Linked DNA regions of Coturnix japonica. The protein of the gene in region 3 interacts with the protein of the main gene of each other region in a biochemical or structural test. Links are inferred from orthologs where the notes say so. Each region holds a gene or a part of one and is shown on either strand. Other genes may lie near its edges.

The links.
Region 1: of the proteins of LIMK2 (region 3) and ROCK1, one has a biochemical effect on the other in vitro, tested with the Homo sapiens proteins (2 studies listed by BioGRID). The link is inferred for Coturnix japonica from reciprocal best matches to the Homo sapiens genes LIMK2 and ROCK1.
Region 2: the proteins of LIMK2 (region 3) and RPS6KA1 interact in a test that uses a peptide from one of them, tested with the Homo sapiens proteins (2 studies listed by BioGRID and IntAct). The link is inferred for Coturnix japonica from reciprocal best matches to the Homo sapiens genes LIMK2 and RPS6KA1.

The regions. Positions count from the first base shown.
Region 1 is NC_029517.1:92,202,739-92,206,383, forward strand, and holds part of ROCK1 (rho-associated protein kinase 1), read right to left. Parts: intron 3,330-3,645; coding exon 3,236-3,329; intron 2,873-3,235; coding exon 2,784-2,872; intron 2,209-2,783; coding exon 2,020-2,208; intron 1,541-2,019; coding exon 1,375-1,540; intron 206-1,374; coding exon of another isoform or gene 75-205; exon of another isoform or gene 1-74. UniProt on the Homo sapiens protein: Protein kinase which is a key regulator of the actin cytoskeleton and cell polarity.
Region 2 is NC_029538.1:152,446-156,090, forward strand, and holds part of RPS6KA1 (ribosomal protein S6 kinase alpha-1), read right to left. Parts: intron 2,709-3,645; coding exon 2,592-2,708; intron 2,013-2,591; coding exon 1,931-2,012; intron 1,720-1,930; coding exon 1,639-1,719; intron 1,020-1,638; coding exon 940-1,019; intron 671-939; coding exon 564-670; intron 14-563; coding exon 1-13. UniProt on the Homo sapiens protein: Serine/threonine-protein kinase that acts downstream of ERK (MAPK1/ERK2 and MAPK3/ERK1) signaling and mediates mitogenic and stress-induced activation of the transcription factors CREB1, ETV1/ER81 and NR4A1/NUR77, regulates translation through RPS6 and EIF4B phosphorylation, and mediates cellular proliferation, survival, and differentiation by modulating mTOR signaling and repressing pro-apoptotic function of BAD and DAPK1.
Region 3 is NC_029530.1:8,042,410-8,046,747, forward strand, and holds the start of LIMK2 (LIM domain kinase 2), read right to left. Parts: upstream 2,822-4,338; 5' UTR 2,800-2,821; coding exon 2,676-2,799; intron 2,451-2,675; coding exon 2,351-2,450; intron 1-2,350. UniProt on the Homo sapiens protein: Serine/threonine-protein kinase that plays an essential role in the regulation of actin filament dynamics. Acts downstream of several Rho family GTPase signal transduction pathways.

The DNA.
Region 1 (3,645 bases), on a different chromosome or scaffold from region 3:
GTATGATCATACTAACACCAAAATCTCAAATCACCAGAATTGCTTCTCATTTAGATACTGATCAATTGAGAGCCTCAATCAAACAAACAAACACCAACACATTCTAAGAACAAAATCAAAACACATTTTAGAAACACACATGGAATGTCCTTGTAATATATATTAGAGGTCCTACCTGTATGAAATACTAACATCAGATGTACAACTGCAGTAAAAGTAAGAGGCATGTGGAAAGAAGAGGGCAAAAAATGAAGGGAAATGAAAGGTTGGTAAAGTAGAAATAAAGAGGTCAGGAGTACAGAAGACAAAGGGAAAGACTGTAAGAAGTTCCAGTAATTATGATATTTTAATTAACAGTGATAGAGTTATAGCTGATTGATTTGCCATGGCTTAGTAAATTTCTGCCCCCAAAATCAAAGTGACATTTTGGACAAACAGAAGCTTAAAAATTTACAACTACAAAAGGAAAACTGGAAACAATGCACCATATGAGGCACACAAAGAAGGATCATACTCCTACCTATAAACTTTCCCAGATCTAGCAGACGGTGTCACACTGACTTAATATTAATTTTAAGGAAACAGGGAAGATGTTACCAGATGGAGGCAAGCGACGAGGGTTTATTTTTTCCAGCATATTACAAAACAGTCATTTTGCTGAAAATGGTGAAGAAGGTGCTTACTATTCCTATCTAGGGATATAGAAACATGAACATACTGATTATACGCTGCAAATAATGAGGGGTGGGAAATCACTAACTGGTGTTATCAGTGGGCCTCCAAATACAACGTATGCAGCTGAAACTCTATGGGAATTACCAGCTTATATTTGGTATTCTTCTTTCCTGTCAGAATACCACACTCTGGTATGCATTATAGACATTTTGACAGTTTGGTGAGGTTTTTCCTTCCACACAGACAACTGCTGCTGCTTTTCATAAAAATGCTACATTACTATGACTAAAAGCAAGATCAAGGCAAGTTTGCATTCAAGATATAAAATGCAATCAAGACATCATGGAAATATGCTGGCCCTCTACTGGATTCACTCTACACTGCAAACTGTAGTTATTACACTCAAACACCAGCAGTGACAGCTATAAAGATATTCCTTCCACAAAAATGGAAATTTATAGTAGTACTGTGCCATAAAGCAGAGGTTTGATGCAAGAAGGAATTAGGAGACTAAGTATGAGATGCTGAACCATGAAACTGAAAAATACACTTAAAAATAGAAGTAGAAATGTGACATGGAAAGACAGTAGGATGGTATTCTCAAGAAGGTAGTGACCTATTTGAAAGACTGGAAGACTGGACCTTCCAAAACTACACATATGCACAGACACACCTACTTCAAATACGCTTTCCTCTTACCTGAAAGATTTCCATCGATTTCATCTGGCTGTAGACTAGAAACGCTGCTAGAATCCATTCCTTGCTGGAGATCCAAAATTTTCCTTCGTAGTTGTTCTATGTCACTCTCTTTACTATCCAGCTGCATCTGTAGCTCATTCCTGTATGTTGACTCTTCTGCTAGTTGCTGTATTTGTATACACATACAATGTCACCATGGTATCAGAAATAAGGGAACAAAGTATTTAAAAACAACACCTTACTAGTTCTTTTTTCATGAAAATCTCTCAACACTTTTGATAGCATTGACATAAATTATTATTGTAAAAGTGTTCCTAAAGTCTAGGAAAGAAGTTTGTGATCAAAGATACAGCAATGTGTTGAAACAGAAAATGTTAATAGAACTTTCACCAACAAATTTAATCTTCCAGAGAAAAACCATAAGAATACTGTATTACACAATATTCAGCTTTCATAATGTACCAATCATCACATTCACAGTTACCAACTGAGAATGGGGAAATGAATGAGAACAAACACAGCTGCACTAAAATTCTGCAGTCTGATACATCAGCAACAGAACTCCTTTACACAAGTGCACAAGGAGCTGCATGTTTTCCCGGGGCAGAGAACTTCATAATGTAACAAAAATGAAGGTTTTTTTACCGCTTGCATCTCATTAACCTCCTTCTGGTATTTCACCACCATCTGATTGTATTTCTCTTTTTCTTGATTAAGCTCCAGTTGTAGCTTTCGGTTTTCCTTCTCTTTCTTCCTCAAATCCTGCATGCTTGCTTTCTTTCTATCTATTTTAAAATCTTTTCTATTCATTATCTCAGCCAGTTTGTTGACAGCCTGTTATAAGAAAGAGAAGAAGAAGATAAGTCAGAAAAGTAACACACGAGAGCAAGTATCACATAAAGCTTCCAAGCTTATCTAGCTGGAGGATGTGCAAGTCCTCATGATCTAAGAACAGACTGGGAGAGGTGCACTTCAATAAATCATTGCAATTAATTCCAAAACTGAAAACATACCCCTGTGGGTACATTAAAACATGTACCTCAGTTAACGTATTTCTCACACTGACACCCAATTCAAATAGCCAAAATAGTGATAAGTGCTTGAAAAAGACAAACCCCTGCCCCATTCCAACTTCACCAATCATTTCCATCTGTCTTTAGAAAGTACTGATTTCCCAAAACCACAGAAATGCTGTTAGTTACTCACACTAGTAATAATCGCAAAAAGCACTCATAACCAATTTTACTTAAACTCTAAACATCAGGAATAGGTAGTACACATCATGATTAGCATGAAATTAACAGAAATCTCAAGCACTACGAGCTAGTTGCACAAAAAACCCAAACAAGCTGAAATATATCTGGTATGCAACATCGTTTTAACTTTATCCAGTTACATAAAAGTTATACCTGTGTCTTCAGAGTTCTCTCAGTGTTGATACTCTTCTCATATTGCATTCTAATATTGTTTATTTCTTCCTCTTTTTTCAGCTTGTATTCTGTTAAAGTAAGATTCAACTTTGAGATTTTAGGACAAAGTAAGCATCCCTAAGCTTAATCACATAAAACTGTACCATTCTAATTTCCCCTTATTCCTATTGCAGCTCAGTTATTCCTGCCTGCTGAAGCTGAGGTTTTAATTGTTCTCAACAATAAAAAGGCAGCGAATGGGAATGGAACAAATATGGTAGAGAGTGGCAATTCACACGCTATTTCAACATGACACATTTTCTATCAAGTCACTCCACCACTATGGAAGACACACAGGAATACTTTTCCAATGTCCAATTTTCATTTGCACACATACTTCACATTCATTTGTGCTTCATACCGGATGATTTAGAACTCCAAACATGACATACCTTCCTCCTGTTTCTTCATTTTTTCACTGATCTCTGTATTTTCTTTTGTTACTAAATCAACATCTTTGGTTAACGTGCTGTTAGTTTCTTCCAGCTAAATGAAAACAAATAGATTTTAAGACAAAGATCTTGCCATATTTGTAAGATCATTTCCTTCAATATCCTTAATCTGTAACAGCCTTTTACTTGGAATGTCTTCAAGGGTCCATTAAAAAAAAATGCTTTCTTCTCAAAACTGAACTGTAAATATGGTACTCTCCTTCTAAGCTGACTTGACATACCAGGAGGTCCGAGAATACAGTCTCACTAAGTGTCTTTTGAAAATCCTCTTTACAAAATTGAAAATACTCTAGAGCAAATTGTTAAAAATCCAATCAAAAATAGATTGCAGTCAATGAATATGGTGGTTC
Region 2 (3,645 bases), on a different chromosome or scaffold from region 3:
ATCCAGGAGGATGCTACAGCAAGGAAGAAGAAAACAAGTCATTAGTGGCAAGAAAGGCTGGTGAGAACCAGCAGGTGTCCCAGAGCTGGTCAGAGATGCTCCAGAACTCCAGAGGAGGGACTTATCCATCCTTCCAACACCTGTTTAAGCTTTAAGCTCCATCACCGTGAATGGGGGAAAGCAGCCCCCTTCTATACATACTAAACTTCACACTGAACCAATGAGCCACACAGACTACACCAAGTTTGATCCCTCCCATGTCTCAGGTAAGAACAACCCACTCATGCAGCTGCTGTGTGTCTCCTCAGAGGCCTTTTTCCTCCGAAGGCTCTCACTTACTCAAAGCTGGAACTCAGCACTGGCTGACATACTCAGACATGTGGTACACACTTGCTGCTGCCACAGTGCTCCTGGCTCTAACTGCTGGTGTGAGGAGCAAGAGCCTCACTGATCTACCCTGCTGCCTTCCATCTGCTTGGCCCAAGGCATCGTTTCGTGGAATAAGGTTGTGCTGTGCTCTGACTGCAGGCTGAGGACTGAACACAGATCTGTACCACACGTACTTCTCTGGTTTGAGGTCTCTGTATATGATTCCCAGGCTGTGCAAATGGTCAAGTCCTAGAGCGAGCTCTGCAAGGTAGAACTTCACATCCTCCTCTGTGAACATGACCTGCAGGAATGGATGGGGGTTATAATCCTGGAAGCATGACAAGCAACACCCTTCACACCCATGTTGTGCCTTTGTGCCCTTTTAAATCTAAGTTTCTGAGGCTTTGCCAGGAGACATGACATCCTGACATACCCTCCTTTGGGCTAGCAGCAGTTTGGAGGCTCCTTTCAGCTCTCTCAAGGACTTTCTGAGGGTTAGTTGTTCCTCCAGGCAATTAACACACAAACAGAGAGCCTCAGCAACCCACTAAGATGCCACAGTATACCCACCTCTTTGGAAAGCCGAGTGAAAAGGTCACCTCCTCGGAGGAAATCCAAGATGAGATACAGCTTCCCCTCTGTCTGGAATGCTGAAACACAAGCCAGAGCAGGAATCAGACCCCTCCACTGAGGGAAAGCTCGATAGTGTGACATTAATCACTTAAATTCCAATGGCTTCAGTTGTGCAAATGCCCTGCATTATTGCTAGGATTCAAGTAGGGTAACTATTCAAGGTAGATCAGATCTCCTGCCTATGATACTGAAAAGGATGCAATCCCCTGGCAGTGCAGAAAAGCATCATTTTATGTGGGATTTGTTCCTTTTCAGCCATTGATGCCCTGCTGGATGGGCTGTTTCTCAAGCAATACACTGGTCAATTTACTGGGGCAGAAGCTGTCCTCAACTTCCTCAGAGTGAGAGTGTTCATCCTGCCATGCTCTGACTTGAACAGTTAACTCAGCTTTCTCAGTTTCTCCTGAATTAGTGTTTTAATCCCAAGGATTTGACGTTTTAAACCTCCTCTCCTGGTGCCCCACTCAAGGGTGAACACAAGACCAAAGGCCTTTCCAGGAAAGGATTTGTTTTAAGGGGATTGTGAATGCTCCAGCACAGCACAGCCACTGAGAGACATGGACTGACACAGGCTCTGCCACTGCAGGTGCCCAGGACCATGGCAGACACACCTGTCCCAGCCAACCCCGTACTCACCATAGTGCAGCTTCACCACAAAGGGATGGTTTACATCAGCTAGGATGTCCCTTTCTATCTTTGTCCTTACACGATCACGCACTGTGGGAAAAGAGAGGAACAGTTCAGATGCTGGAGAAAGATCAAAGCCGTGATGTCAGCTTCACCCCTAGCCCTAAGCCTTCTGGGATCAGGCAGCTGGAGCCAGATCTTTCCAATCTCCATCAACCCAGGGCCAGCAGTGACTGGTGGTGACCTTTTTGCAGTGCCATTTCCCATGAAGCAATAGGACACAGCAGTAAGGCTCCCTTACCTTTCAGTGTTGCCTTTTTGAGCACTTTCATGGCATAAAGGTGGTTGCTGTCTGGTGGTGTTATTTTCCTCACCAAGAAAACCTGAGGCAGAAGAACACACAAGCTGGTTTTAAACAGCTTCAAAAGTCCTTTATTCATTGCAACAAAGCTGCTGCTGCACATGCACAGCACCCCTGCTGCACCACCCCTTGCTGTGGTGATGGCTGACTGACGTGAAGTTGAAGACAACATGGGAGCAGATGGTCTGCAAAAGACCTAGCTTGTTTGCACTTTGAAACAGATACAAATTACAGGCTATTTCCTTCCTCCTTCACAGAAGGGAAGCAGCAAATAGGCCAAACCCAGTCCCTGGCACACAGCATCACCGTGAGAAGAGAGGCATGCCCCAGCCCTCTGCCCCACACAGCACTGCATGCTTCTTTCCTCCTGACCAGCTGCATAAAGACCTCCGGGTAGAGCTGGCACACTGACGTTGATGAGAAGTGTCTCCGCAGCTGCCCTTCAAACTAGAAGCAGCCAGTTGCTAAGTGAACATATCAGATTCTCACCGGATACGGTCCGGTGAGAATCAGGAAAGAGGTTACGCTGGGGACAGTCCCTTTTTCAGCTCTTCTTTCAACACCACTTATCTGTGTGACACGCAGGAAGAGCTGAGCTCACCTTGCCAAAAGAACCCTGTCCCAGAACCTTCAGAAGCTCAAACTGCGAAGGGTCGGCTTTTTCAAAACCTTCCTTCACATGGTGTGTGATGTTGATTTCCTTCACAACACCCTCACCCTGGAAAAGAGAGGACATGGTTGGCTGTGAATATACTGAACAAGGGGAAAAAGGTCTTATTGAGTCAAAGAGCAAGGTCTACAGCTGCAGACTCACAGGAACCACATCTGACAGAGCCATAAAAGCAGGTGCATGTCGCAGCTACCTCCTGGCTTCAACACCTGGAACAAAGCAGTCCCCAGTGGGTTACCACCAGGCAGCACCATTACATCCCCACACTCTCCCCGGCACCAGAGGTGTTGCGTTCCTTTGAACTGCATTTCAGAAGAGTTCTTGAAAGCACCTTCCTTTTTAAGGCACTGGTGGCAAAAACAGGAGTGTTTATGCCACTAAAAATCCCACAACACAAAAATATGGTGGTGTTGTCAAAACATGGCCAGGGCTGGCAAAAATCAGACATGTTGGAGCCCATCTGCTCAGCAATCTGAGCAACTCTGCAACATAAGCCTTGGTGCATCTTCAGCACATACAGATGATGCTTTTAACAGACTCAAGCCTTCAGAAAGATTGAGGGGAAGCCAAGGTCTCTGGCACATGTTTTGTTTAAAACACATTCTTTTACTAGTTACTAGTTAGATTTTCCCCTTGCCGAGTAGGGGAGAAATTAGTGAGAAAATCAGACTTCGTTTTCTAGAGCTACTCAGATACTCACTGCGGAACCCACCTAATCAAAGCTTTTAGAAAAAAACAGGAACCAAGCTGCAGGCTCTGCCCTGCGCACACTGAGCTCCCACCCTCACTCCTCCTCACACAGCACACGGATGTGGTTGCTGCCTGCAGCACAGCATTGAGCACCCTTCCTTTCCCACTCCTGTGCTTGTCTTTTCTCTAGTAGAGCTTTGCTCCATGTCTGTTGGTAGCTTTGCTCTCTCAAGATCCCATGATATCCAGACACTCAGATCTGTCAGAGACCCATGCACAATACAGCCTGAGCACA
Region 3 (4,338 bases):
CTTTATCTGTGGGGAGGGAGAATCAACAAAACAACGGACATCAAAACAGCATATAAGGCAGCACCTTCTGTTTTGTAATATGGACAAAATGGACTGAAAGCTAAAAGAACAGCATGGTATAGGTAGTAAGAGACAAACACATTCTTCTTCCAATAATTCCCTCTGGTAAAAGCGATCCAAATCTAGGAAAAAGGCAGCATGCCACCTCTGTATTTCCTTTGCTAAGTCTGTGCAATATATGCTCCAAATCCAGGGAAGCCACTTATCAGTTAAAAAAAAAAAAAGACCATTGAAATGGATCCTAACTCAACAGATCTCAGAGGCAAAAAAAAGCACATTCAGAGTTAATTCACAACAGAGATTATGTCAGAAACATCTAAAAGAAGACTCCACAGCCAGCTCTAACCCAACAGATTCAAGCCTAAGGATCAGCTAGCCAAAGAACAGTGTAAAATATCCAAGATATATGAATAGGGATTTGCTTTTCCCTCCAAGTCACATCAGAGAAAACATGGGTTTCAGGGTCAAAGCTCCTGTACATGCAGCTTGAGGAAGGAGGGAAGTGACAAAAAACTTAAATCCTCAGAGACATGCACGTACGTCAGCTACCACCAGTGCCAAGCATGATCAGCAGCCTCGCCTGACCAAGCTAACAAGCTTAACAGAGCTAACAAGACTGGATCAATGCCAATCAGCATTAGAGAAATCATGTGCCAGGCCAGAGACGCAGCTAATCCACAGGAAGACTGTAAAAAACACTCCACAAGAGCTGCCGGAACTCACAGCTACAGGCTGCCAAAGGCTCCTACCATTAGAGGCTTTTTAAAACTTGGCTTTGGGATATCGAGCACAAGACTGCTGCCCAGCATGGTTTGGGGATAACAGAAAAGAAAGGAGAGCAGAGCGCAAACTCTGTTTGCATGAGCAATGCTAGCCTGGAACGGGGAAAAAGGGAAGGGCAGCTTCCTTTGCTGCAGGTTCCAATTGTTCACTCAGCACGGCCTCGAAGCTGGGCAGCAGAGCTAGCCAAAAGTAATGAGCATAAGAGAAGAGCATCAGCAAGTTACTGTACATCTGAGGAGAAAAGCCATTACCTGCCTTTCTATTGCAGGTAAATAGGAAAACCTAAAGGAAGAAAAAAACAAAAGACTTCTGTTCTACAATATAAACTACAGCATAAAATTCTCTGGTGCCACTAAGGGTGGTTTGCCTGCAGCTCAGCTGTCATTCACCTCTACAAGAAGCACCCAGGCATTTACAAATCAGGACTCGCATCAGAAATAGTACAAGAGGAGGCATAGAAGAAAGACTTGCACACACAAATTAGAGTTTGGCTAACTGGGAGAATGTTGAGAAGCTCCACAGCAGGACTCCAGCTTGGAAGAGAGAAGAGAAAAACAGGGCTTAGAGAAACTGACACAACACAGCTGAACATGAACACTCGGACCAACAGAAAGCAGAAAGAGTCGGATTTGCAGCAACATGGAGCAGTAGCTGTGATTAACAAGGCATTCTAACAAACAACGCTTTCCAAATCAATAGAGCTAACATTGCTTTGGCAGCCTGCTATGCTTTGCTTTACATATATATATATATATATATATATATATATATATATATATATATATATATATATATACACCAAGAAGCATAATAATTCAACAAAGTCTTTTTGTAGTAATAAATTAAACACAATGGGACAGATGCCTGTCTCAGCACAGCAAACATTCCTCCAAAGCCGCACTTTGCCTTCTTTTACCCTCTATTTGCTTTAACAGGGTCCAACACATTAACCTCTGCACATTCATGACATAGTCACTCGTACCCAGAAGCCAGCAGAAGCTCCTGCTCCTTTCAGAAATGCAATTCTGGAGCACGAAAACTAGAATGAGTATTTGTGAAAAAGGCAAGAGCCCCCTCTGCCAGATCAGCAGCTTTCCCAACACCCTGATATTGCTCCTGCAATATATATGGAAACAGCGACAGGAGCTCAGGTGGCCTGGGTTGTACCTCTGAATGCTAGTGCAGACAAAGACACAACCTGCGGCTTCTGCTACCACCAGCAAATCAGAGCCTCCATTTATACTTTATCTGTATTCCCATACGTGTGTGTGTCAGCTCCTGGCCAGGCAGCACCAGACTGCTGCCAGAACTGAAGGTCAGTTCCAAAGGGCTGCTGTGGGTATTGAAGCACGGCAATGACCGGCAGCACACTGCCTCTGCCACGGGCTGCAGAGCAGGTCAGACATAGAGCTGACAGCAGGGTATGGCCTCAAGACCAGCCCCTGTTACTGTCAGTACTGCATCCACCATCCTCCAAGAGTACAATTGGCTGTAAAGTTGCACCTACTGGAAACAGGAAACGTGCCAAGCTTCATTAACTGTCCTGTAGAGGCGCTGACCAGCAGCAATGAGGTCCCCACATCCCAGGCATCTCCAGACTTCTTCACCTGTATACAGGAATAAGGCCACATCAACAACCGTTTTACATCAAAGAAAACAAGGATTGCTCCATGCCTGATAAAGAACAGCCCTGAATTACACCAGGCAGACCATAAGCGCCAATGTTTAGAGTTCCCAAATTGGACTCTAATATCCTAAACCCCTGTTTTTTTCCCTCCAGACCTGACACCATCATGTGCTCCTTCACATTCTGCAGGAGAAAACAAGGTTACCTTTCACAGGAGATGGCACCGTTAGAGCTGCACCACTGCTCAGAGCAGAGATTTCAGGTGGAGATGGGCCAAGTGTGACAATCCCTACAGGGAGCCACGCTGTGCCAGGAAGCCACGTTACCATTCCCCTCCTGCCACTGACTCAGCACATAACATTTGTGCACTTTTGGGTGATTAAATGGATTTCCCAGAACAGGAAGAAAGACAAACCTTATTCAGCAGAGAACAACTTGGCCACCAGGAAGGAATTACACACTCAGAAGGATATTCCTGCAGAGTCTGTATGACCAGCACTGCACTGCAGCCAGGCTTAGCAAGAGGAGCAGCTGCCACTGCCTGCTGTGCCTTCAGAAAATGCCAGCAATGGTCAAGAAGTCCTAAAGCCCCAGAAACGGGCAGGATGCATAAAGACTGGGAAAGAAAAAAACAGTACAAAGAATCTAGCACTAATTTGGCACAGAGAAATGCTATCTGAGAGCCAAGCTGCTGTTTGGGCACATCTAAGAGAAAGCCGAGGATGTGGATGAGCGCAGGATGGCACAAAGGACATGTCGTGCTGCTGGGCACTGATCTGCTTCCTTCTGCTACTGCAAGCTGGCTGCAAGAGAGATGTGTAAGGAAAGAAACGCGCTTAGAGAAGGAAAACCACTAACCACAGACTTACAGTTTCTAAAGAGCGTTAAAACCCAGCAGTTGCTCAGTAATTGCCCCTTCTGTCTGAGGCTTTTCTCTGCAGCTTCACCCTGAAATGTCAGGTAGCTCTTACATGGACCAAATAACTGCTCCCACCGAAGGGAGCTGCCCTCACTGCCCTGCCATCACTGCGCTACAGCAGCTGCCTGCTGCCGGGGGGGGAAGCTGCAGAGGATGGAGAGCTCAGCGCTACGAGGGACGCCTGTCCGTGAGCACGATGCTGCCCTCACCCACAGCCTGTAAGTGCGATGCTTTAAGTTCAGAGCGTGCTGCTGCCTGCGGGGATCAGGCACAGCCACGGGGCTCCGCGCTCAGCGGGACAGGGCAGCGCTCAGTGACTGCGAGCAGCGGGCAGAGACCGGCGCACGGAGCGGCTCAAGGACGCGGAGGGCCCAGAATCCCGCAGCGCCGCAGCCGGTATCTCGGGGCCCGACCCCGCAGCTCCGCCCGGCAGTCAGGGCAGGAAGCGGCGCGTTCCGCCGCAGGCCCCGAGCGATGCGCAGCGCCCAGCACACCCGGTACACCCAATACATCCAGCAGCGCCCCGCCCGCCCCGCGTCTCTCACCTGCCGGCCCCGCCATGGCCGCTGTCCCGTGACGTCACGGCCGCGCCGCACCTGGGCCGCGTTCCCGCCGCCGTCCCGCCGTCCCGCCAGCAGCCGCTCGGCGCCGCGCCACGCCCCGGGGGAGGCCCCGCCCCCTTCCTCGCCGCAGGCCAATCGGCGCTCCGCCTCCCTCACGGATACGAGCCAATCGCCGTGCTCCGTCGGAGGGAGCGAGCCCGCCCTTTCCGCGGTGGGAGCCAATCGCGGCGCGGCCACGCCCTCAGCCCCACTCTCCACACGCGGCGGGAGCGCGGAGTCCGCCGGTCCCGACCCGCACCCTGCCCAGCAGCTCCTCGGCCCGGTGCATCACCGTCCGCCGAGCACAAAGAAACGGCAGCGCACTCCCGTCGATATAAAACCTTTTT